2 linked regions of the Arabidopsis thaliana genome follow. The protein of the gene in region 1 interacts with the protein of each later gene in a pairwise test. Each region holds a gene or a part of one and is shown on either strand. Other genes may lie near its edges. The genes, in order: AT1G08230 and AT1G22570.

Region 1 (11,539 bases):
GGGAAATTAACAACACCGCCGACAGGAGACTGCAATAACCTTCCATGGCGAGCTGAATCAAAAGCCCTGAGCTCAGTCAGACCAAGTTCATGGTTCGGCGGAATCAATCTCTCCAGCTTGAGAACCGCGTCGGAGCCGCAGGCCAAGGTTGTCGCAGCAAGTAAAAGCACGGCGGCGATGATAATAACTCCAGCGGGAGAATCCACCGCCATTTCTGGAGTTCGAACTTTCTCTTCCTGGGGAAAGAGAGAGAAAGCCGCCAATTGAAACGTTCTGATAATATATTCTGATGACAGTACTAAAGTTTTGCACATTTTCGTGATTAGTTTAATTAAATGTGGAATTAAGATTTGCATAAACTATCCTTTTTTGTGTTAGTCATTATGGCGTGTTTAAATTTGGCATTTTGGTAATTATGATTTTCACAAGTTCATTTTTATTTATTTAAATGTTCGGTGTTGAGTACTAGATAGACTGATGTAATGTGTCTGAAAGTACTGATGTAATTCATATGACGTGTCCGAAAGTACTGATGTGATTCATTGATTTCCGTTGACCAATTTACCCAAAATTCACCAGAACTCAGAAGTCTACGACACCAACGGCTTTATTTGGAACCTAAACTAAACGGACATCCACGAGGTAGATATTTGGCCTTGTTTTGTTTCCACTTTTAACTCAAATTGTATCAGAAAAAGATTTAGGTCATATCATTCTCGGATGAGTACAACTACACCTATCCAAACAAGTGAAGAGTGAGTATGACCCCTTTCCGTTGAACACCAAATACAAAATTGGACGAAAAGGATTCTCTATCGCTTAAGTGCAGATAATCCAATCAAACTGCAAAACGGAAAGATAAGAGATACTTTATTATTGTCTTCGACAACATCCTCCGTAAGAGCCAAGGAGGAGCACTTGTGTTTTGAGACGGTCTCCAGTTCAGGGAGCGATCTGGATATGTAATGGAACCAAAAAGACACTCAGATGTTATATTTTCATACGCTAAACTATATCAAGAAGGTGCTTCAAAGAAACTTTTGTAACTCTTAGCTATGAAACATTCAAGGCAAAGTTGAAATATTTTCTACACAGAACGTTTTTCTGGCCATGCTGTAGAATTTTTCTGATAATTGCAGGCCTAAGAAGAATTGGGAGTCTTGTGATTTAAATGGTTTAAGAGAGAGAGAAGTTTGGTTACCTCTCATTGATCTTCCAAGAGAAGTGAGGTGCAAGAGAGAAGTTGAGATACTTCCTCTGGAGTTGCTGTTCCAAAACCTTGCCATCTTATTCTCCCGGATTTGTCAAGTAAGAGAATATACCTGAAACGTGAACACGTATGTGCAATAGAGAGATCAGAAAGGTTAAGGGAATCTCTTATGCTCTCTTAACCTGATGAAGAGTAGACTTTTCTGTACCCGGTGAGAAGGTTCAGAACTTTAATTTCTTTACGGAAGTAGTAATGGTCTCCAAATGCGTAACCCACCTGCCTCTGGAGGACACTATTCTCGTTATTGTTTGGTTTTTGCAAGACCCGGAGAAGTAGTTTTCTTATGGGGGCCAAGCCCAGCAGCCATTTGTCTATAAATGAAACCTATAATTACAAGAAAATAAGTTTTTGAATAAAATGGGAGAAAAACAGCTGCTAAAAAAGCACTCGTGCAGGTTCTAAAATCTGATATAAGTGCGAATAGCACAAACGATTCAGAATCAGTACCTCAAACAACTGAAGATCTTTCCTGTTGCCAAATGATTCAAGAAATGGTTTGCTCCACGAGCTGATCATTTCCTGTCAGATAAAGCAACCACATCACATCAACAATTATACAAACTAGATATATAACTTATCAACAAAATGATTCCCCACTAAAGAGTTAAGACCACTGTGTCAGGCAACCATTGTTTAGTAACCTTAAGAAGCAACACTTCCGGTAATCTTTAATAAACTCAAACATTCTCGAAATCAGAGTATAGCAAAGACGAGGTAGAATTTTCTGTACCTGAGAGCTTGCTCGGAAAGACAGACACACCAATGATACTTTAGGAACAACCAAACTCTCTGTGTCAACCTCATTGCTGTTGGGAGCAATAGGCAACTTTAGGCTTTTTCCATTAGAGAAAGTCACTGCTAATACCGGAAATTTGATGGCTGAAGCGGCAGGAATTATAGTCTTATTTGCAGCTGCGATCTACAAAAACATCAATTGACAGTTAAGAAACTTCATAAAGCAAATACAAGATCCCTACAGGCTACGGTATCTAAATCATGCATAACTAAGTACAAGCGAACCCAGATGATATAAGCCATAGCTAATGAAAACAATCCACCCTTTAAGATTGGCGTTGCAAAGAAGACAAAATCTGGGATCTGTGATAGTGGATCCTACCAATAAGAGAGAGAGAGTGGAAGAAGTTGCATGATTATACCTTACCACCATGTTCCTTGAATTCTTTCATATCAGCAAAGTAACCCCGATTCATCTCATCATTACTGCCCTAAATCACATCAAATTCCACTAATCAACTTCTCATTGAGACGATCTATGTCGAAACAGATAGCAAATCAATGCTGAATCTGAATAGGAGCAAAACCCAAAAAGAATTGAATCTAGATAAAGGCAAGCTTACAGTCTAGCACGCTCATCTTCAATTGCTTTCTTATTCCCGAACTGTGCAAAGCCACAACAACAACGACAGATCTATAAACAACGTTTCTCCGATAAGCGAAATTGATAATTTCTCAGAATTTCCTACCTTATAAAAATCGAGGAAAGAACGGGTGGTTGATCGAAGAGCTGGCATTTGAGAAGGGAGAGAGTCATGATTCTCGTATCGAGTGAGGGAGAAGAGTCCTTGATGATGCTTGTTGAGAGCAGAGACTGATCTATGCTTCAGGATTCGATTCAACGTCGTCGCCATTTTAGTAGAGCTTAAACCCTATTTGTTTGGTTATGTCTCTCTGCCGGCGAACCAAACACGCTTGAAATTGAAAACGAGTCTAAAATCCTGAACCAGATTTTTGTGTGGGTAACCAATCAAACCGATTTTTTAAATCCGGTTTAATTATAGCCCCCAACTTTTGGGCTTCCGTTTCTAGGAATTGTTTTGCGTTGGGTTTCAAATGCTCATATTCCAGGCCTGTACTGTGATTTATCAATTTTCTAGATATTTATTTCATCTGTATTTATTTCATTCAAAATTAATTAATTTAAATTATGTAAAAATATTGTTATCAAAATTTGAATATTATTTTCCAAATTTATAATCATAAACATTTTTCTAAGAAAAAAAAAGGCTTATTCTTAAATATAGAAATAACAATCTCACTTTGCTTTGCATGTTCTTTTATACATCCGCAAACAACTTATACGTATTGGCATCTATTATAATCTGTCTAACCGCCGCTACCATAGCAATCACCCCTAAACACGAAAAAACCACGGCGATCACAGTGTTGATCCAAAAAATGAAACTTTTTTTAGACGGCTTGAAAGTAAAGTTGAAGAAAACTACAGGAAGAACGAAGTCTAGAGGTATAAAACCGAAAGCGCCTAACAAGGAGTTTACATCTCCAAAAAATGGAAGCATTGCCGCAACGATTGTAGCCATCACGACGAAGAGGGAACGCACAACTAGTCGAGGGATGACATTGCGGATAGAGAATTCTTTCTTTGTTGGATCGCTGATCACACTTTCCAAAATATCGTTTATAGGTTGTAGGTATACCTGCATAACTCAAAATTAGTAACAATGTATATATGTGACGAAAATAAAATAAAATAATAACAATGTATATATGTGAAAGAAAAACGTTAAAAAAAAATTGTATTTACCACAGCAACGGCCGAAAGTTGAAGGACAGTGAAGAGATTGACGAGAAAAATAAACCAAGTAGGGACAAAGTAATGGTTTGTCTCGGCATTTAAGAAATTGGTGAAGATAAGTCCATTGGCTTTTTTACCGAATGCCCAATATCCTGTGATGGCTACTGTGAAAAATGTCATTATTACTACAAGGTAACACATACACAACCCTTTCATCATTTTTCCTTTCACTGGTGCCGATATTGTTGCCTGCGTTGCAAGAAGATAGTATTCATATATCAAATACTCTATATATATAACTGAGTCGATCATGTGACTGCCCTTTTGTTTTTGATGAATAAATATTAAAGTGGTGTTCTAAACAAAGAATGGAAACAAAATGAAACCTGAATTTCAGGTATAATGCCATTGCCGTATGTAGTAGCAATAATAGCCATAGCATTAAAGATTCCAAACACTCTAGTTTCTGGATCACCAACTATAGTATAGTCCTTCTCTGGTGCATTTGGTTCTTTTCCTGATATTTAACAGAAAACTCACCTTTTAAATGTAACAATATAAAAGGTTTAAGAATTAAGAGTAAAGTGGTTTAGTAAAGAAGAGTACCAATGTAGATGGATGCAGCAGCGGCAGAAGCACTGTAGAGGAGGCAGAGGAGGAGAGACAGTGAGTTGATGTATCGTAGAGAGTGAAAGGATGGGAATTGTGCCAAAACCAAAAGTAAGCATCCAAAAATAATCACAAACTCAAAGAGTTTCATTTCCCCATTTGGCTGCACTACCAAGTACATTGCCTTTAGGCATTGCCCTCCCAAGAGCGCATTGGCAATAACCACACCATAGCACACCGCCATTTGTATTGGTCCAACGTAGTACCTTCCCCATTTCGGACCTTATCAAACACACCCCAATAATTGTTAAGAGGAAAACCAAACTGATCTTAACTAATCAAACATTCGGAACCTGTATTATACTTTACCTTATCCTAATTAAAGTTGTATACAGTCCCGAAAAAGTGGGCTAAATCGAATTCCTATAAATCCTTCAGATTAGCGGTGTACTCTAATGAAAACTAAAATCCAAATCGATGATTCGATGCATAATGGATTTAGTTTCATATTAGCTACTAAAACAGAATTATCCAGTAAGATAAAAAATTTCAATCAATTTTTTCTCATCATTTTGTAGTTTTTGCATAGATAAATACGTTAAATTTTGTCTTAAAAGTTTTGTTGACATGTGGATTTCCTTGGTAGTCGACAGTCAAAGCGTAACTATCCTAATTTGGATCGAATCCTATGTAGGATCTGAAATTTAGAATATTCTACTTTTGAAAGCAGATCGAACCTATCCAACTTTACTTATATAAGATTAAATTTTGGTCGGCACCAACGTTTTATGAATACTCTTCTGACACGCACATATTTTTAAAAATTGAAATTAGTTTTGAAAGACAAATTTCTGCATCAAAAATGAAACAAGACACGGAAAGAGACAGCTATCTAACGCATGAAAAAGTTGAAACTTAACAGTGGTATGAGTGGAAATGTGGAATGGTCAACACTTCGATCCGGATCCCAACAAAATTGAACCGAAGCAAGCCATATCAAAAAATTCACTATAATATGAATTCCATATGATTAGTTTTTTTTCTTCTTATAATTCGAAACAAGACCAAACAGTATAGAAAAGTATTTTTTTAAAAATCATAGGTTTACACAATACATATATTGTGATATTAACCAACCACGAACAAAAGTTGAGCTCATACCAATGTTTACTTGGTTTCTTATAAAATTCCGTTGTTCGTAATAGCAAACGTGATTATAAGTATTCCATCTCGCGTTTTCACACAAAAATTAACTTTTTTTTTTGTTCAAACAAATTATTACGTAGGACATGTACCTTCCTTTATTGCGTGGATGAAATTATTGGAGTGGTACCGGCCGTGTGTCAATTATTACGTATAGAAGTTCATATAGACACGTATGTCTACGTACAACTATACATCTCAATCTTGAATGAAATTCTCTTAAGGTAAATTTGTCGCAGCTTTGATTATAGGAAAGAGCAAATGTAAAAAGAAAAAGAATTACTGAGGATGTGATGAGCCATGTCACGGAAGCGGAGGTAACGGTTGCCGAGAGAAGCGTGGTGTTCGAGAGTAAGAGAAAGAAGAGTGTACGAGTAGAAAGTAACGGCTGCTCCTCCGACCAGACAAGATATCCCGGCAGCCCATCCTAAGAACTTGAAGGCGTACGGTAGACTCAGTAGCGCAGGCGCCACTATAGACGTCGTCAAGTGGAATCCGCAGTGCCACCATGTCCCTAGTTTCCATCATCATCATCATCATATCTTCTTCAAATGGGTTATAATAGTATACGTTAAGTTTCATAGATTTCATAATTAATAAAACGTACCTTTGGATTTAAGGACGAAGAGAGAACCAGCATCAACTACTTCTTCCCCTCTTTTTTCTCCATCTCCTGATCTCTCTTCTCCACCCATCTCTTTATCGCTCTCTTTGTTTCTCTTTCTCTCTCTCTCCCCCCACTAGGTGCTACTCACTTTTATAAGTCCAAAAAACACACTTGCTATCATATCATCTTTTACCTAAAAGCATTTCGTAATAATATTAAACATTGCAGATTTATAGTTTATCGATTCTCTTCTGTGTCAAACGATTTATGAAGTTATAAAATGTGTATATCTTGATTATTTTCTTTAAAAAATATATGATAGAATATGAAAATAAATGGAGAATTCAAAATATTTTGGAAACAAATCTCTTAAATCTTATTTTTTATATATAATTTCAAAATAATCGATTTTGGAGACAATCTTAAATTTTCAATACATCCAACAAACAGTAATAGAAAAAGCAAATTGGATAATAGTAATAACATATCAATATAACATGTTAATATGTATATTAAATCCTTATTACAGTTTTACATTTTCATTATAACTGACAGAATTTTTAAAATTGAAAGAAATTTCTTTCGGTTAATAATAATAATACTAGATTTTCACCCGCGATATACCGTAGGGACAATTTATATTTTAAAATTAGTATATATAAAAGTTTGTAATTTGTAACAATCTATGTAACTATCTATAAAATATTTTTATTTTATAGTTTAGAATTGTTATTAAGTAACGTCCTGCCAAACTCGTCCTGCCAAACTCGTCCTGCCAAACTCGTCCTGCCAAACTCGTCCCGCCAACCCATCCCGTAAAAAAAGCTCATTTATTTTATTAATGTTGATCTTCTTTATCATATGTTTATGAATCATTGTCTAAATATTTTGTAATTTTGTAGTAATTAAATGTTATCAAATATCTCTGCGGTTTGATGATTATAATTGAATTGTAATAGTCATGAAGAAAAACAATATCAATAATGATAATTTTGTAGTAATTAAATGATATTAAATATTTTGAAAGTTTTATTTTAGTAACCAATCGTGTAGTTAATGTAAAGAGATTTTAAAAAAATTTATTAAATGTCAAATATTTAATTCGAAGATTTTTTTTCTAATTATCAAAAACAAATATTAAAATCCAGTGGCAATCATTGTAAATAATTCTCAACTACAAGATTTATTTCACAAAATAGTTGCAAAAATGTATATATAGACTAGATTTTAACCCGCGGTACACCGCGGAGATAATTTTTTTTATTTAAACTAGTATATATAAAATTTTGCAAATTATCTCTATCTATAAAATATTTTTATTTTATAGTTTACAATTGTTATTAAGTAACGTCCTTCCAAACCCGTTCTGCCAAACCCGTCCTGTAAAAAAAAACCGCGGTACCCCGCTAGTTGAAATTTATAATTAAAATAAATATTTTATGGATTGCGATTGTGTTTTAGTTTGTCAAACAAAATTTTGTTTTAAATAGTTGTCGAAATCTAGTTCAAATTTTGGAGAAATAAGATTTAGTGAATTGATAAGAAATGTATTTAGTTGCGTTTGCTCATTTTAAGGGATTGCAATTGTCTTTTGGGTTGTCAAACATTTTTTGTTTTAAATAGTTGCTGAAATCTAGTTCAAATTTTGGAAAAATCTGCGTGATATATGGGATTGAAATATATTTGGAATGTTTTTCGTTTGTTAATCAATTTATTGCTGAAAAAACTAATAATTAAAAGCCAGTGACAGCCATTGTAAATAAGTTTCAACTCCAGGATTTATTTCACAAAATGGATGCAAAAATATATATATAGATTATATCTATATATATGTATTTTAAAATCTTTCTCACTTTAACCTCAACATCCAAAGTTTATATGTATATATAGTTTATTTGCTCGATATGCAAAAGCGTCTGTAGTCCAACGGTTAGGATAATTGCCTTCCAAGCAATAGACCCGGGTTCGACTCCCGGCAGACGCATTTATATTTTTTAACAATCTTTTCTGAAAATTTGAAAAGACAACATTTTGCATACACCAAACATATGTACATATGTTGTGTTCTTGTTGGACTCGATGGTTTATCAACCCCAGGTCCAATAGGACAACACGAAATTATCATACAAACCACAATGATTGATTGTCCCCAAACCCTTATTTCTGTTACCAACTCCACCATATTGTCACAACTTTTCCCCTGTTATCAAAACTTCCAAATCAATGTTCTATGAATTTTAGTTTAAATTTTTACCAATTGTTTATTGATTTATACGAATTCAATCAAATGTAAAACACCAAACAGAATGGATCAGTAAATATAAAACTTTGTTATCTTCTCCAAAATTTACATTTTCATGTGTGTATAGACTATAGTATGGTTACGATGAAGTTGATGATGTTGGTGACCAAGGAGTCATATCCATGGGATAACTCCCAAGCACCCGCAAGAACGATGTAAACTCCTGAACCTCGGCAAGCGCGTTCTGAGCACGCGCCTCCGCCATCGAGGCCTCGAAGTCAACATAAAACATGTACTCAAAATGCTTCGCCGTCCCGACATTGGCATCATCCACGACCCTGATCGGACGGTTGTGATTCGGCCTCGATTCGATCTTCGTCAAGCTAATGTCTCTGAAGGCGAAAGCAGAGAGCACCTTGAAAAGCACGCTGGTTCCTTTCTCGTGCGCAAAGACAATGCTAGTCTTGAACGGTCTATCTGTTCTAGGTATGATTGGCTCACGCGCCAGCATCACGAAGCGCGTCACGTTACTCACGTCGTCCTGAATCCCATCTTCCAAAATCTCCAACCCGTATATCTCGGCGGCGCGTGCACTCGCGATAGCGGCTGTGTCGCGGAGGTTGTTAGAGGCGATGAACTCAGCGGCTCCTGCGGTGTCATCAACTGCCTCACGTGCGACATTAAGTCCGAGCTTTGTGAGCGTGTGCTCACACTGAGCGAGACCTTGAGGGTGTGAGATCACACGTGTGAGAAACTCTTTACGAACGCCGGGAAGAGCCAGTAAACAGTGATGAACAGGGAGTTGAACTTCGCCGACTATATGAAGACGGTGACGGAGGAGGAGATCGTAATTACGGTGGATAGAACCGCCGAGAGAGTTCTCCACCGGTAAAACAGCACGATCTGCGATCCAAAGCTCCACCGCTTGAAACGCAACCTCAAATTGATCGCAAGGTATAGCTTGACAATTAGGATAAGCTTTACCAGCGGCTGCTTCAGAGTAAGCACCGGGAACACCTTGATAAGCGACGCGTAGATTAGATCCGTGCATCGGAGCCGGCGAGAGATCCGTCATGCTAAGGGGTTTCAGTGGATTATGACGATGCTGTGGAACCAACGGATTGCTATCAGATTTCTCAATCGGAACAAGATTCATTCCTGGAACTCGTGCGGCGGCGCTGTTATGGCCGTTGAGATGATCAACTCCGCCGGAAACTGGAGGCACAGGTAAGGATTCAGATTCTTCTTGAGAAATAACCTTGCTTGTTAGAATAGCGCAGGAGCTCTGCCATTCAGAACGACCAGATCGCGCGATAAGCGCAGTCGCCGTCGCCGGCTGGCTAGCACCTAATATTGGAGAAGAAGATGATAGAGCTTTCATGTTTTAGCAATGGCGTCTTAAAATTGGTTATTCAAGCTCAATGAAATAGCAAAGTCGAGAATGTAGAAAAACATGTTTTCCTGGGGTAGTTCGTTTGTGTGGTCACTTCTCCACCTACCACAACCACCTTACAAGTCACAGTCGTATGGACCATACCGGCATTTAACTGAAAATTAATTCGACCCGATCCGGTTTAAGTTATTTGGTTTCATAAACCGATTTTCTCCATACCCCAATTGAGATATGAGAGTGTTTAAGACTTTACCGGAGGTGATTCGAGTTCAAGGAGACAGTCTACACTTGTGACTTGTGAGTCGGAGCTTGAGAACACCTACAGCTACAAGAAGGAAGTTTGTTTTCGCCTCGAGCTAGAAATCCTAATTTGTCATCATCGTCTCGAATGGAAAGGCTGTGTTCGAAATCCAAAATGCAAATGCGATAAAGATGGGCTTTTAGATAGGCCCAATTAGAGTCCAAAAATGAGGGGCTTATCAGTGATTTGGTTGCCAATACCAAAAGCGCGGGAAAATGATAAAAGATTTTTTTTTCCTCTCTACTCTTTCACTCACTTTCTCCGGCATCCACGAAGCCCTACCAGTAAAAGCCCTTTTGTTGACCCTAAATTCTCCTTCAAAGCTTCTCCAGGAATAAAGCTCCTCTCTATATAGGAATCTCTCTCTGTCCCGCGTAATTTATAATCGCCGCAAAATGAGCGGAGATAATCGAAGACGGGATCGAAAGGATACGCGGTGGTCGAAGAAGCCTAAGGTAGTGAACACTGCGGAAGATGAACTCGAATCTAAACTCGGATTTGGGCTTTTCTCTGAAGGTGAAACCCGACTTGGGTGGTTACTCACATTCTCATCGGTAAGTTCTCCGACACTCTAATCTGGACTCAACCTTGTTAATTGAGAGTATTTGAGTAGGTTTCGGATTCGATTATATGTGAATTTCTGTAAATTAAATATAAGCATTGGCGACTGAACCATACAATGAAACTCCATTAGTGCGAGAATTTAGGATTCTAGGTAATGTCAAAGTACTAGTATTTACTGATTGGATAATCTACTACGTTTTGCAGTCATCTTGGGAAGATCGCGATACTGGGAAAGTCTATAGTTGTGTGGACCTTTACTTTGTTACTCAGGTGAGCTGCTATAATTATGGTCATTACTCATTACTATGTCAGCTTCGTATAAGTTGATGAACGATTATATTTTTGTTGTTGCATTTTTCTAAATAGTTAACTGAGTTGAGGATTTTTTTCAGGACGGCTTTTCTTTCAAGACAAAGTACAAGTTCCGTCCTTACTTTTATGCAGCCACGAAAGTATGATAGTTTCTCTCTGGACATTATCGGAATTCTCCTTGAATCATTCATGTATTTTCATTTTATATGTCAATAAACTGCAATGCCAAATTACAGGACAAAATGGAATTGGAACTCGAAGCCTACTTGAGACGCCGATATGAAAGACAAGTTGCTGATATTGAGATTGTTGAAAAAGAAGATCTTGATCTTGTAAGTCAGTAAAGCATACTATGATTATTATTAGTTTAAGTCTGACTTCCTCATTGTGTGATGTAGTTGACTAGTGTCTTCCACCAGTTGATTAATGTTGTTTCTCTACTCATATCAGAAATATTTGCTACAACCTTTAGTTGTTATCCTCT
Region 2 (11,539 bases), 5.4 Mb from region 1:
CTTATCTCCGACAATATCTTGGTTGCTCATGAGATTGTTCATAGTCTGCATACTATGGATAAGTTTGCGAAGGAGTATATGGCGGTCAAAACTGACATGTCTAAGGCATACGACAGAGTCGAGTGGTGCTATCTGAGAGCCCTCCTTTTAGCTTTGGGATTCCACCTCACTTGGGTGAATTGGATGATGATGTGTGTTTCCTCTGTCACCTATGCTGTTCTCATTAATGACACTCCTTTTGGTATGATTATCCCTGAGAGAGGGCTTAGACAAGGGGATCCTCTCTCACCTTTTCTTTTTGTGATGTGCACAGAAGGGCTAACTCATCTCCTGAATCGGGCTCAACTTGTTGGTAGTCTTTCAGGTATCCAATTCTCAGAAGCCGATCATCCATCACTTACTTTTTGCGGATGACAGCCTTTTTATTTGTAAGGCTAATAAGGATGAGGTTGTGGTTCTTCAAAGTATTTTGGGAGCTTATGGTGCAGCTACAGGGCAGATCATAAATCTAGCAAAGTCCTCGATTACTTTTGGTTCTAAGGTTGAGACTGTGAAAAAAGCTGAAATTCAGACTTGTTTGGGAATTTTTAAAGAAGGAGACGCTAGCACTTATCTGGGATTACCTGAGTGTTTCAGTGGTTCCAAGATTGAGATGTTGGATTATATCAAGGTTAGACTAAAGTCCAAACTGTCCAGCTGGTTTTCTAAATCTTTGTCTCAGGGTGGAAAGGAAATTATGCTCAAGGCTGTGGCAATGGCAATGCCGGTTTTTGCCATGTCATGTTTCAAATTACCGAAGACTACTTGCACTAATCTGGCCAGTGCTATGGCAGATTTCTGGTGGAGCGCTAATGATCATCAAAGGAAAATACATTGGTTGAGCTGGGAGAAATTGTGTTTACCTAAGGAGCATGGTGGTCTTGGGTTTAGAGATATTGGCCTTTTTAATCAGGCGCTTTTGGCAAAGCAGGCTTGGAGATTGCTTCAGTTCCCGGATTGCCTCTTTGCAAGACTTATAAAGAGCCGCTATTTTCCTGTTGGTGAGTTTTTAGATAGTGATGTGGGTTCTAGACCTTCCTTTGGTTGGAGAAGCATCCTTCATGGGAGAGATCTTTTGTGCAGAGGTCTTGTAAAAAGAGTTGGGAATGGGAAGAGTATTAGGGTCTGGATTGATTATTGGCTTGATGATAATGGACTGAGAGCTCCCTGGATTAAAAATCCAATCATCAATGTTGACCTCCTGGTTTCTGACCTTATTGACTATGAGAAAAGAGATTGGAGACTTGATAAGTTGGAGGAGCAGTTTTTCCCGGATGATGTAGTTAAAATAAGGGAGAATAGACCGGTGGTGTCTTTAGATGATTTCTGGATTTGGAAGCACAATAAGAGTGGTGACTACTCAGTCAAGTTGGGGTATTGGTTGGCTTCTAATCAAAATTTAGGACAAGTGGCTATAGAGGCTATGATGCAACCGTCTCTTAATGACTTGAAGACTCAGGTTTGGAAGCTTCAGACTGAACCAAAAATTAAGGTTTTTCTGTGGAAAGTGCTTAGTGGGGCCATTCCTGTGGTGGATCTTTTGTCTTATAGAGGAATGAAGTTGGACTCTAGATGTCAAACTTGTGGCTGTGAAGGGGAGTCTATTCAGCATGTTCTTTTTAGCTGCTCTTTTCCAAGACAAGTGTGGGCAATGTCTAATATCCATGTACCGTTGTTAGGTTTCGAATGTGGCTCTGTTTATGCAAATTTATACCATTTTTTGATAAACAGAGATAACCTCAAGTGGCCGGTTGAACTTAGAAGAAGCTTTCCTTGGATCATTTGGAGGATTTGGAAAAACAGGAATCTTTTCTTTTTTGAAGGAAAAAGATTTACTGTTCTTGAAACTATATTGAAAGTGAGGAAAGATGTGGAGGATTGGTTTGCTGCTCAGGTTGTAGAAAAAGAAAGGAGGGCTGAAGTGGGTCAAAGTGATCAGCAGGTTTTTTCCCCTAGGAATGTGTCTCCTGTTGTTAGATGGCTGCCTCCTCCTACTGATTGGGTGAAGTGTAATGTTGGTCTGTCTTGGTCTAGAAGAAATAGACTTGCAGGGGTTGCTTGGGTTTTGAGGAATGACAGAGGCAATGTCTTGATGCACAGTAGAAGAGCCTTTTCCAATATTTCCTCCTTTTTGGAGGCTCAATTTCTAAGCATTGTTTGGGCTGTTGAGAGTATGGTTAGTCATCATGTGAATAGGGTGGTTTTTGGTGTGGAAGCTGCGGTGCTTGTTGGGGTGATAAACAGGCCGCAAGCTTGGCCTTCCTTTAGGTTTCAGTCTTCGGAGATCTTGTTAGCTTTAAATGGTATTGCAGTTTGGAAAGTGGTGCTTGAATCGGTGTCTTCGAATAGAGGTGCTAATCTCATTGCCCAAAGTGTTACTAAGGAGTGTAGGCTTCAATCGTACGTGGCCGTAAGTTTTCCTGCTTGGCTTCTTGGTGTCTTTAGGGATGAGAGAGTTCTAACCTCTGTGGACTGAAGACTTTCTGCTTTTTGGCTCCTTGCTTTTTGGGAGGTTTATTCTTTTGTTGCCCTGTTAATTTTTGGATTCTCAGGGTTGACCTTTTAGTGGGTGTTTCTTGTGCCCCTTGGTCTCATTTTTTGGTATGACTTTCTGCAAGTCAGTTGTAATTGTGCTAATATCTAATATAACAAGTAATCTACCTTTGCGACAAAAAAAAAGAATTATGAATAACCTAGCTTTTGCTTTTTCTTTTTCTGAAATCTCTGTTGCTTTCTCTTTATAAAATGAATCTAGGTAGGCCGTTCAGTGTATTCATTGATCCAATTATTTCTCATTGTTACGCTGTCGTCACGTTCTTTTTTCTTTCTTTTTTTGTTGTTGTTCAACTATCGTCACGTTCTTTCTACTTTTTAAGGTAAACAATTTTCCACGTGCACGACCATAACTTACACTGTTTAGTGTTTACGTCCAGACCCCAAAAATCGATGCGGGACAAAAAAAACTGATTGATTTGTTAAATTAAATCTTCGTTGGCTTTATACGTGTTATTTGCTTAAACTTCTTTTAAAAGGAGTTTGATAGAACAGTGAAAAGGACAAAAGATATTTTTCAATCGCAGAACTAATATTTTCTGATTTATTAGCTGTGTGTTTGTCAGTGTCCCAAGGACAAAGTTGATTGTGAATTTCTCTCGTTATTACTTTCTTTGAAATAGTTAGATGAAGACTAAAAATGTCTTTATTTTCTTATAATATGTAGTAGCTGAATGCCTAACGCGTATAACTCCTAGGCCTTTAGTTTCTCAACCACTCCTCACTGCCCTTGTGTAAGAAATTAAATGACCCGACACTTTGGCCCATTTCGTGTAACACATGGTTTTAATATTTGCTTGAGTAGTAATTAAGAGTCACAAGTTATCTAACATAGTCGTCGCTTTCAAATACGTATATCATCGGTACATGGCGTGTACACATGATATATACTATATGCTCTTTGTTCCTTCCACAAGATCCAAAGTTGGTCCAAGCTTTCTCCAAGTGGAGTAATAGGTAATGATTGAGTTTCAAATTCTTTTGTCCTCCAGTTTCGAAATCTTCAATTTCTTTCGGCCCATTCAGCAAATCGTTCAAGAAGGATAAGATTTGCTTGCAATTTACGAATTGGACAAACAACGTACTTAAAGATAGATGGTCACACTGATTTATGTCAACATAAAAGCATGTTCTTGTAAAAAAAAACGATAAAATAATTATTCAATATTTGCAAATATCTTAAAAACAATGGACCCATCGGTGTTGTGAAACCAAAAATAAATGCTATCCAATCCAAACCCATGCAATGATAGATATGTTTTTTTTGGTAGGCTCCTCTACCTTATGTTTAAGTTGCCAATTCTATATACTTTGGAAATAAAACGAAAAAAAAAAAAGAAGTCAAACTATAAACATGTTAACGTACAAGTTTGATATGAAAGTCAACAAAATTACAGTAGAGACTCTATAAATTAATACTCGATAAATTAATAAACACGATAAATTAATAAATTTTGTCGGTCCCAAGTTGGGCCAATATAAAAATTAATCAAAATCGATAAAATAATAAGATAATAATTTTTTTAAAATCCCTATGTAAAATTATAGTCCCAATAATATTATAAATTAATAATCATAGATCTTAAGTATATATCTTAAGACTAATTTTTATATGAAATTTTTGTTCAAACTAACTCTTTTTAAAATACAACTGATATGATCTCTGTTGTACTCACATAACTATTTGCGTATTTGATCCGTCATAGTTGATTTTGTAAAATCTTTTATTTGAGAAAGCATTGTTATGATTTGTGTAAAGAGAAACTGGATTAACTTTCATGTTTACGTTTACGTTCACGTTAATGTCGTAGATATACAGATACAAATCTTGACGAAAATAAATTAAAAAAGTCAAATTAAAATAAAAACCTAACATAATTATATATGCAAACAACAAAGCATATAGAAAATTACATTAAAAAATATTTTTAAAAGAATATAGTATTGTACTTTACGTAAATATTTCTATAAATTAATATTTATTAACTTATACGATAAATTAATATTTATTAATTTAGAGGATAAATTAATATCACTATAAATTAATAAAATTTCATGGTCTCACCATTATTAATTTATAGAGTTTCTACTGTAATACTCTGAATTCTTCTTACCAAAAAAAAAAAAAAACTAGTACTCTGAATTCTTAGACTTGGTCTAGCCGACGATACACATACATCTTGGAGATGAACAAGAACGCAAAGAAAGCAATGGCCGTGAAAGCAGCGAGCAACCAATAAAAGTAATCCACATGGGCTCGGTTCAAGTTAGAGTTGAACCAGCCGTCTTTTCCCGTAGCCCAATCAATCAAACTGATGAGAAAACCACTCAAGAAGCTTGAAAGACCCATCGCACTCAGAGAAAGCGAGAGACCAATGCTCCTTAGCTCCGTTGGGACTTGGTCGTAGAAGAATTCTTGTGTTCCCACCATAGAGAACAGATCGATCATCCCGAGTAGCAAATACTGAGGGACGAACCACCATATGGACATTGGAACGGTCACGTCCGGCTTGTCCACTAGCCCGTGTTCCCTAGCGATTTTTAGCCGTTTTGATTCTACTAATGCAGCGAGCATCATATTGAAGACTGAAAGCACCATTCCAGCTCCTATCCTTTGGAGCATTGTGATCCCAAAAGGCTTTTTGGTAATCTTCCTAGCTATCGGGAGAAATACACGCTCATATAGGGGCACTGAGATGAGAATAGATACACCAACGAATGACAATAAAGAAGCCGCTGGAATTTCTACTCCCGGTAAGATTCTTCTGTCCACCGTGACCCCTTGCTTCGTGAAGAAAGTTATGTACTGAGCGTACGGAATCGTGCTCACCACGTATGTGATCCATATCGGAATAAGCCTTACCAAAGCCTTCGCGTCATCCACGTCCCTACCACTACATGGCTCAACACCTTCTCTTGAGATCATTGCTTTTGCTAGGAAACTTGTCACACAAGGTAAAGAAATTTACACTCAAAATTATGCCAAAAGACTAAAACAAAACACAAAATATTCGAACTTACTTGAGCCGATCTTTACGTTTCTCGGACTGACCATCCTCCAATAGACCTTGATCCAATTCCAAACTAGAATGTTCTAACCTCAGTTTCCGATTCTTGAACGCAATAACAAAAACTCTACCGATTCTTGCAAAAGTGTTACTACTATTAACCTCCTCATGATGTCCCTTTGGGTATCTATATATCTTCCTCCCGAGCAAGAAGATAGCAAGAGCCATAACCATAAACAAACAAGGAATCCCAAACCCAAACGCCCAATTAACATTTTCTTGAACATAAGCGACCACAATAATCGATATGCTTATTCCCGCAGATAAACTCAAGAACCACCAATTGAAAAACGACCCTCTCGCTATTACCTCCTTCGGATCTTCAGCATCAAACTGGTCCGCACCAAACGCTTGAACACACGGTTTGTGTCCACCTTGTCCGATCGCCACCAAATACAGAGAACAGAAGAAAAGTGTATTAACCCAAATAGATGGTTTAGCAGAAGCGTCGTTACGTTGCTTAGATAATCCCATTATGATTAAAGAAGCTGATAACGTCAATAGTCCTAGCCCCTGTAATAATAATAATCCTCCAAATTCAGCTAAAATCCCGGTTTAAATCATACAAAGATCAAACCGGTTTAACTAGAAGAAGACAAAAGTACTAACCAATATGTAGATGAGGGAAGCTACGACAATAGTACGGTAACGACCAAGATAAGCGTCAGCTACGAAAGCTCCTAAAATAGGAAGTATAGAGGCAGTTCCCGACCACGTGTTCACGTTCACGGCAGCTTTCGCCGTCGATTGTCCGAGAGGTCCGGTGAGGTAAGTAATCAAATTGCAGGCAATCCCAAAGTAAGCAAACCTCTCTGCAACTTCCACACCTAAACAAATCATTTAAGACTGGGACTTAGAAGTTTAACTAGAAAAAGAAAAAAAATTGGATTGTTTCTGATGTGTTTTACCTATAATGAACCAGGCCGATCTCCATCCGCCGGTGGAAGATTTTCCGGCGGGAAATCCACGGTGGTCGACGGAATCGCTAACGTAATCTTCTAAGAGTGCAACTTCTTCCTCTGGTATCTTCATTTCTCTCACCAATAGAGGTTGAGAATCTCTGTGAAAACTTTTTAAAGGGTAAATGCCTAAATGAGATTTTTAAGCTAAAAGATCTCTTTGTCTTGCGCAACTAGTGAACACGATTACATTAATTTATGATATTTTGGGTAACTAAACTTTCTAGTCTTTCTTTTATGTGTATCTGTATATTTATTGGCATTTGAGATGAGTGTACTATACGCGTTAAAAAATAAGTATGCAATTACATTATCTTATTTGTATTTTTATTTTATATAACTTTCCGATATTATTGTATTATTACGCAATAATACGCATACTTCCTTTGGACAAGTGATACACGTACGAGCTAGATATTTGCCATGTTTTGTTTTGTATCAGCAAATTCTTTTTGTCATTTTTTTCAATCAAAAGTCAACATCAAGGGTAATTTGATTGATCACGACTTATTCTTAAAATTAAGTTATAAAAAACATGTAACTTAGTGATGTACAATTGTTATTTGAGTATAAATGTTGATAGAATATTTAGATGTTTTTGGGTTGGATCGACCAAAAATCCATATATCATTCAAGCTCTTAGACTTAGGCTTAGCTAACCATAATTTTGACGTATCATTTTATTTGTAAATTCACTTACTTTTTAGTCACAAAAGCAACATAATTGATCACTATTATTTCAAAATTAGAAAATTCGTTAACAATAAAAAAAATAGACAACATTTGTATAAACATTTTACATTTGTATAAATGCTGAGACTAAATCAATAAGTTTTTAATTTGGAATATTTATTATGTAGTTGTATATTTTTCTTTCTCCTACTTGGCTAGTGGCTACTTGCATGCTCTTTGGTCCGCTTGTTGCGGTGTTCCGTATTTATGATCGAGTTATTCTTATCTCCTGATTAGCTGTCACTTCATAACTTCTTTTTACTTGCAAGTTGCAGGGTAATATGAATGTATTTGTTCACAGCACAAGACTATACTCTCCACAAATCAGCAAAATACATTCTACACGAATGTTTCCTTTTTTCTCAAGCTGTGGTCACTAAATTTTATTTTTTGGCTAAGATGTTTGTGATAGATCAGTCAAATAGTCAAAATAATATTTGTTCATAGCAGAAATAATCTCCTGTATTTCAGTTTTGAATAGTCAAATATAGATTGATTCTGATAAAGTTGGAAACCTTATCAGCTTTGGACACACAAAAAAAAGTCTTATCAGATATGTTATCGCGCCAAGCAGATGAGATGGATTTTGAATGTTACTTTGTCTTTTCATGTGTAATAGAAACAGAAAAATTCGGATTACTCAAATTGTTGACAATTTTTCGAGTTTTTGAAAGTCGCATGCTTAAATTATGTTGGCAACAATTTTCAGCATACTGCTGATTGATTCATATTTGGTGATTACGTTTGTTTCGTTGATTGTAGATTTGTTTGTTGAAGACATTTTTTGTTCTTGGGGGTTGATGTAGTAAATGAATATTAAAATCTTTATATTATTTGCATCCACTTGAGGATAAGATAATATTGTTGTCTTGCTGAGGAACGTGTTATACGTGTAGTACGTGTATAACTTGCGTTCTCTGAAATCATTCATTTAAAAAAAAAAACCTGCGTTCTCTCCTTTCTTACTACTCTCGAGTCTCAAACATTCTCTCTTTTTTATAGGCCCAAAATATTTCGAAATCAAAAGGGGCCGAAATACGGGCCTAAATAATTTGTGTGAACCATTTTATCATACATGGTTGCTAAGTTGCTATGATGTCGTATCCTTAGGAGTTAGGATTGGTACTCACGCCTAGACTGAACGGCGTGACATGCGGAAGATCGATAAATGGCATCATGACCTAACAATATTGAAAGGATCGAGATATGTAATATCTTTAAGCTCACGAAAAGATACAAACAAACATCGAATAAATTATATTTACATGGATTCCTCTCTTTTAAAGTCAAACAAAAAATATTATGACTTGGAAGTCTTGAACATTGAATGTTCTTTAGAAGGCACTATACCGGTGTACCGGTGTTTCAAATAATGTCTTAAGTTTTAGTGGAAATTTATTTACTTCCCAAAAATGATCTCTAACTATCTTAAGGAACAACCATGCAGATAAAGAATTTTAATACTAGTTTATGTAGAGTGTTTCATATGTATTTTTTTCCGTCATCATTAAGTTCGTAGAAACTTCTTTTGCAAGTACGAAATTTTGCAAGTACGCTACACCAAAGTATGGGTTTGTCACTTGGTTAATGATGAAAAACAGGTTAGCAACAGGGGAAAGGATGTTTCAATGAAACCAAAATGCAGATCAAAGCTGTGTCTTATGCCAAGATCCTTTGGAGACAAGAGAGCACTTGTTCTTCCAATGTCCGTATTCGAGAAAGGTGTGGGAGGAGCTGGCACGGGGGATCCTAGCAAACAAGTTCACTGAAAAATGGCGGGATATCATGAGGGAGCTTGCGAACAAAAACCGAGACACAACGAAAAGGTTTATACTAAGGTATGTGTTCCAAAACACGATACACTCTATTTGGCGTGAAAGGAATGATAGAAGACACGGAGAAAAACCATCAAGAAAAGAGAAATTTGTCAAGCTGATTGATAGAAATATGAGAAACCGCTTGAGCACCATAACAATGAAAGGGGAAGAAAAATACATTGGAGGACTTTAAGTGTGGTTTGCGTCACAACAAAGTCAAGGATAGATAGATTGAACCATATTTTGATTCGGTTTTAAGAAAAGTTTGCATTTCGATGTATAAACGTTTGCATTTTTTTTTAATATAATTTAACATTAGATTTCTAAAAAAATACAAAATTTTATCAATTTTAGGTGTGACAAAGTAAATTTCATCATTTTAAAAAATATTAAAAAGCTAATAATTATATCATTATATTACAAATCGTGTCACAAAAAACAAAAATCAACATGTCAAACATGAAAAAGCGTTACAAGAATAGTTTTTGCTCAATTGCTAAACAAACAAATAAATAAATTATATACCATACATTTCAATTTCACCATATATGCATATCTCCTCATTTTACAGAATCTTAAATGTAAAATTAATTTCATATTTAATAGTTTATAACACGCGTCACAAAATAGAAAGAAAAAAAAAACTAAATATTGCTTACTTAAAAAAGAGTTACGAAAATATAGTTTTTTCCGCCCAATTTTAAAATAAATATAAGATTATCCACCATTCATCTCATTTCACCACATATCCATATCTTCTCTAAAAGTTTTAGATCTGTTTCTTAGAGCGACATCGACGATGACAATGGCACCGAAACGATGTTTGTATGTATTGTTTCTAATAGTTCAACATGAGTGTTGGCGATGAGACTCTATCAATAGCCACACAAAAAATTACTGTCTAACTCTTCAAAATTTGTTGTTGTTGTTGAAAGTAACCCTTAATTTTTAGATATCTAACGTTTGTTTTATATTTTTTTCATTGTTGACGACAGTAAAACGAACGAATCTACCAAATCGGTCAGAGTGGCTTGCAGATCTTTAAGGAGTCCTTCCGTGAGACGGTAAGTTCATTAATCTAACTATTAGCCTATTACATTACATATATGTCCACGGAATTTCAATTGTTTGGTCTACCCATTCATTGTTTATTCTCTCTTGCTGAATTAGTGGTTTCTTTTTTTTTTTTGAATAAGTTTTCACTAGAAAACTTTGAGGAAAGTAGTTGAATTATAATTTCAAATATTAGATAAAATTCATTAACTAAGCTTCGATCATTATTCTTACATATTTAGCTTTTACATAATTACTTAATAGTATACAATATTACACACACACACCTCGTATGTGTGAAGTGAATCAGTGTGTATATAACTATACCAATCGAGTACTTTACAATTAGTAATCACAACAGCCAATGAGTTAATAACTATGTAACTAAATATTTTGCCTATTACTGTTCCCATATATGTTCTACCATATTAGAGAGTTTGACCCTTTTTTTTACAATAGACCAAATAGAAGAGAATATGATGTGTTGTAATTTGTAAATATTTACATATATGCACACCTCCTACATGTGTATATACTATAACTCATTAACTCTATTAAGAATAACTATTTTTACCATCAGAAATTACATACGTCAGTCAAATTTAAAAATCATAATCATAAAGGCCTAACACTAGAAAAGTTAAAATCAGTAATGTAATGAGACTATTATGACTAATAATGGAAGAAAATATTTAATACAATGTAATTAAATGTAAAAAGACAAAATTAGAGATACTCTTATTGATAATTACATAACTTTTATTACATATTGCCTTTTGTATATATTTTTAAATCTCACAGAGTTTTTCAACAATTTTTTTTTTTGTCCACGCATAGGCTTCTGTGATTACCAATTATAATGTTTAACTGACATGTAGGATAAATTAATTTCTTGTTGTCAGTAGTATAATAAAATTATGTAAAGAAAATGCATGTCTACAACATTACAAATATACAACTCATCATATCCTCTTTCTGATTGGTCTAGTGTAAGAAAAAAAAAGTTCAAACTTGTTTATATGGTAAAACATATATAGGGACATTAATAGGCAAATATTACCTTCCTCTTTTTACAGGTTCATTAGACTAACAAACACAAGACAACTAATAAAATGAAAATAAATTGATATAAATCTTCTTATTTAGAAAGCTTTTATATCTATATTTTCCCTTAAATCTTATATGTATTTTTCTGTTACAGCCTTCCTATAATTTGCTTTTTACATTTAAAAATACCTTTCTATAATTTGCTTTTTAATATTTAAATAATACCTTTCTATAATTTGATGAAACGTCTTTTGTGGACCTAGCCAAAATC

What was found.
Region 2: the proteins of AT1G08230 (region 1) and AT1G22570 interact in a protein complementation assay, tested with the Arabidopsis thaliana proteins (one large-scale study listed by BioGRID).

The regions. Positions count from the first base shown.
Region 1 is NC_003070.9:2,580,370-2,591,908, forward strand, and holds AT1G08230 (Transmembrane amino acid transporter family protein), read right to left. Parts: upstream 6,601-11,539; 5' UTR 6,332-6,600; coding exon 6,244-6,331; exon of another isoform or gene 6,151-6,243; coding exon 5,920-6,150; exon of another isoform or gene 4,716-5,919; coding exon 4,431-4,715; intron 4,342-4,430; coding exon 4,211-4,341; intron 4,074-4,210; coding exon 3,834-4,073; intron 3,727-3,833; coding exon 3,346-3,726; 3' UTR 3,275-3,345; downstream 1-3,274. Other genes in the region: AT1G08210 (Eukaryotic aspartyl protease family protein), read right to left, coding at 1-356; AT1G08220 (ATPase complex subunit), read right to left, coding at 1,205-1,322, 1,419-1,594, 1,718-1,789, 2,001-2,189, 2,428-2,491, 2,629-2,669, 2,755-2,919; ADT6 (arogenate dehydratase 6), read right to left, coding at 8,625-9,866; TIL1 (DNA polymerase epsilon catalytic subunit), read left to right, coding at 10,575-10,733, 10,948-11,013, 11,136-11,195, 11,292-11,387. UniProt on the Arabidopsis thaliana protein: High affinity gamma-aminobutyric acid (GABA) transporter probably involved in GABA uptake into cells.
Region 2 is NC_003070.9:7,971,882-7,983,420, forward strand, and holds AT1G22570 (Major facilitator superfamily protein), read right to left. Parts: upstream 6,930-11,539; 5' UTR 6,693-6,929; coding exon 6,569-6,692; intron 6,567-6,568; exon of another isoform or gene 6,501-6,566; coding exon of another isoform or gene 6,488-6,500; coding exon 6,270-6,487; intron 6,174-6,269; coding exon 5,614-6,173; intron 5,535-5,613; coding exon 4,739-5,534; 3' UTR 4,543-4,738; downstream 1-4,542.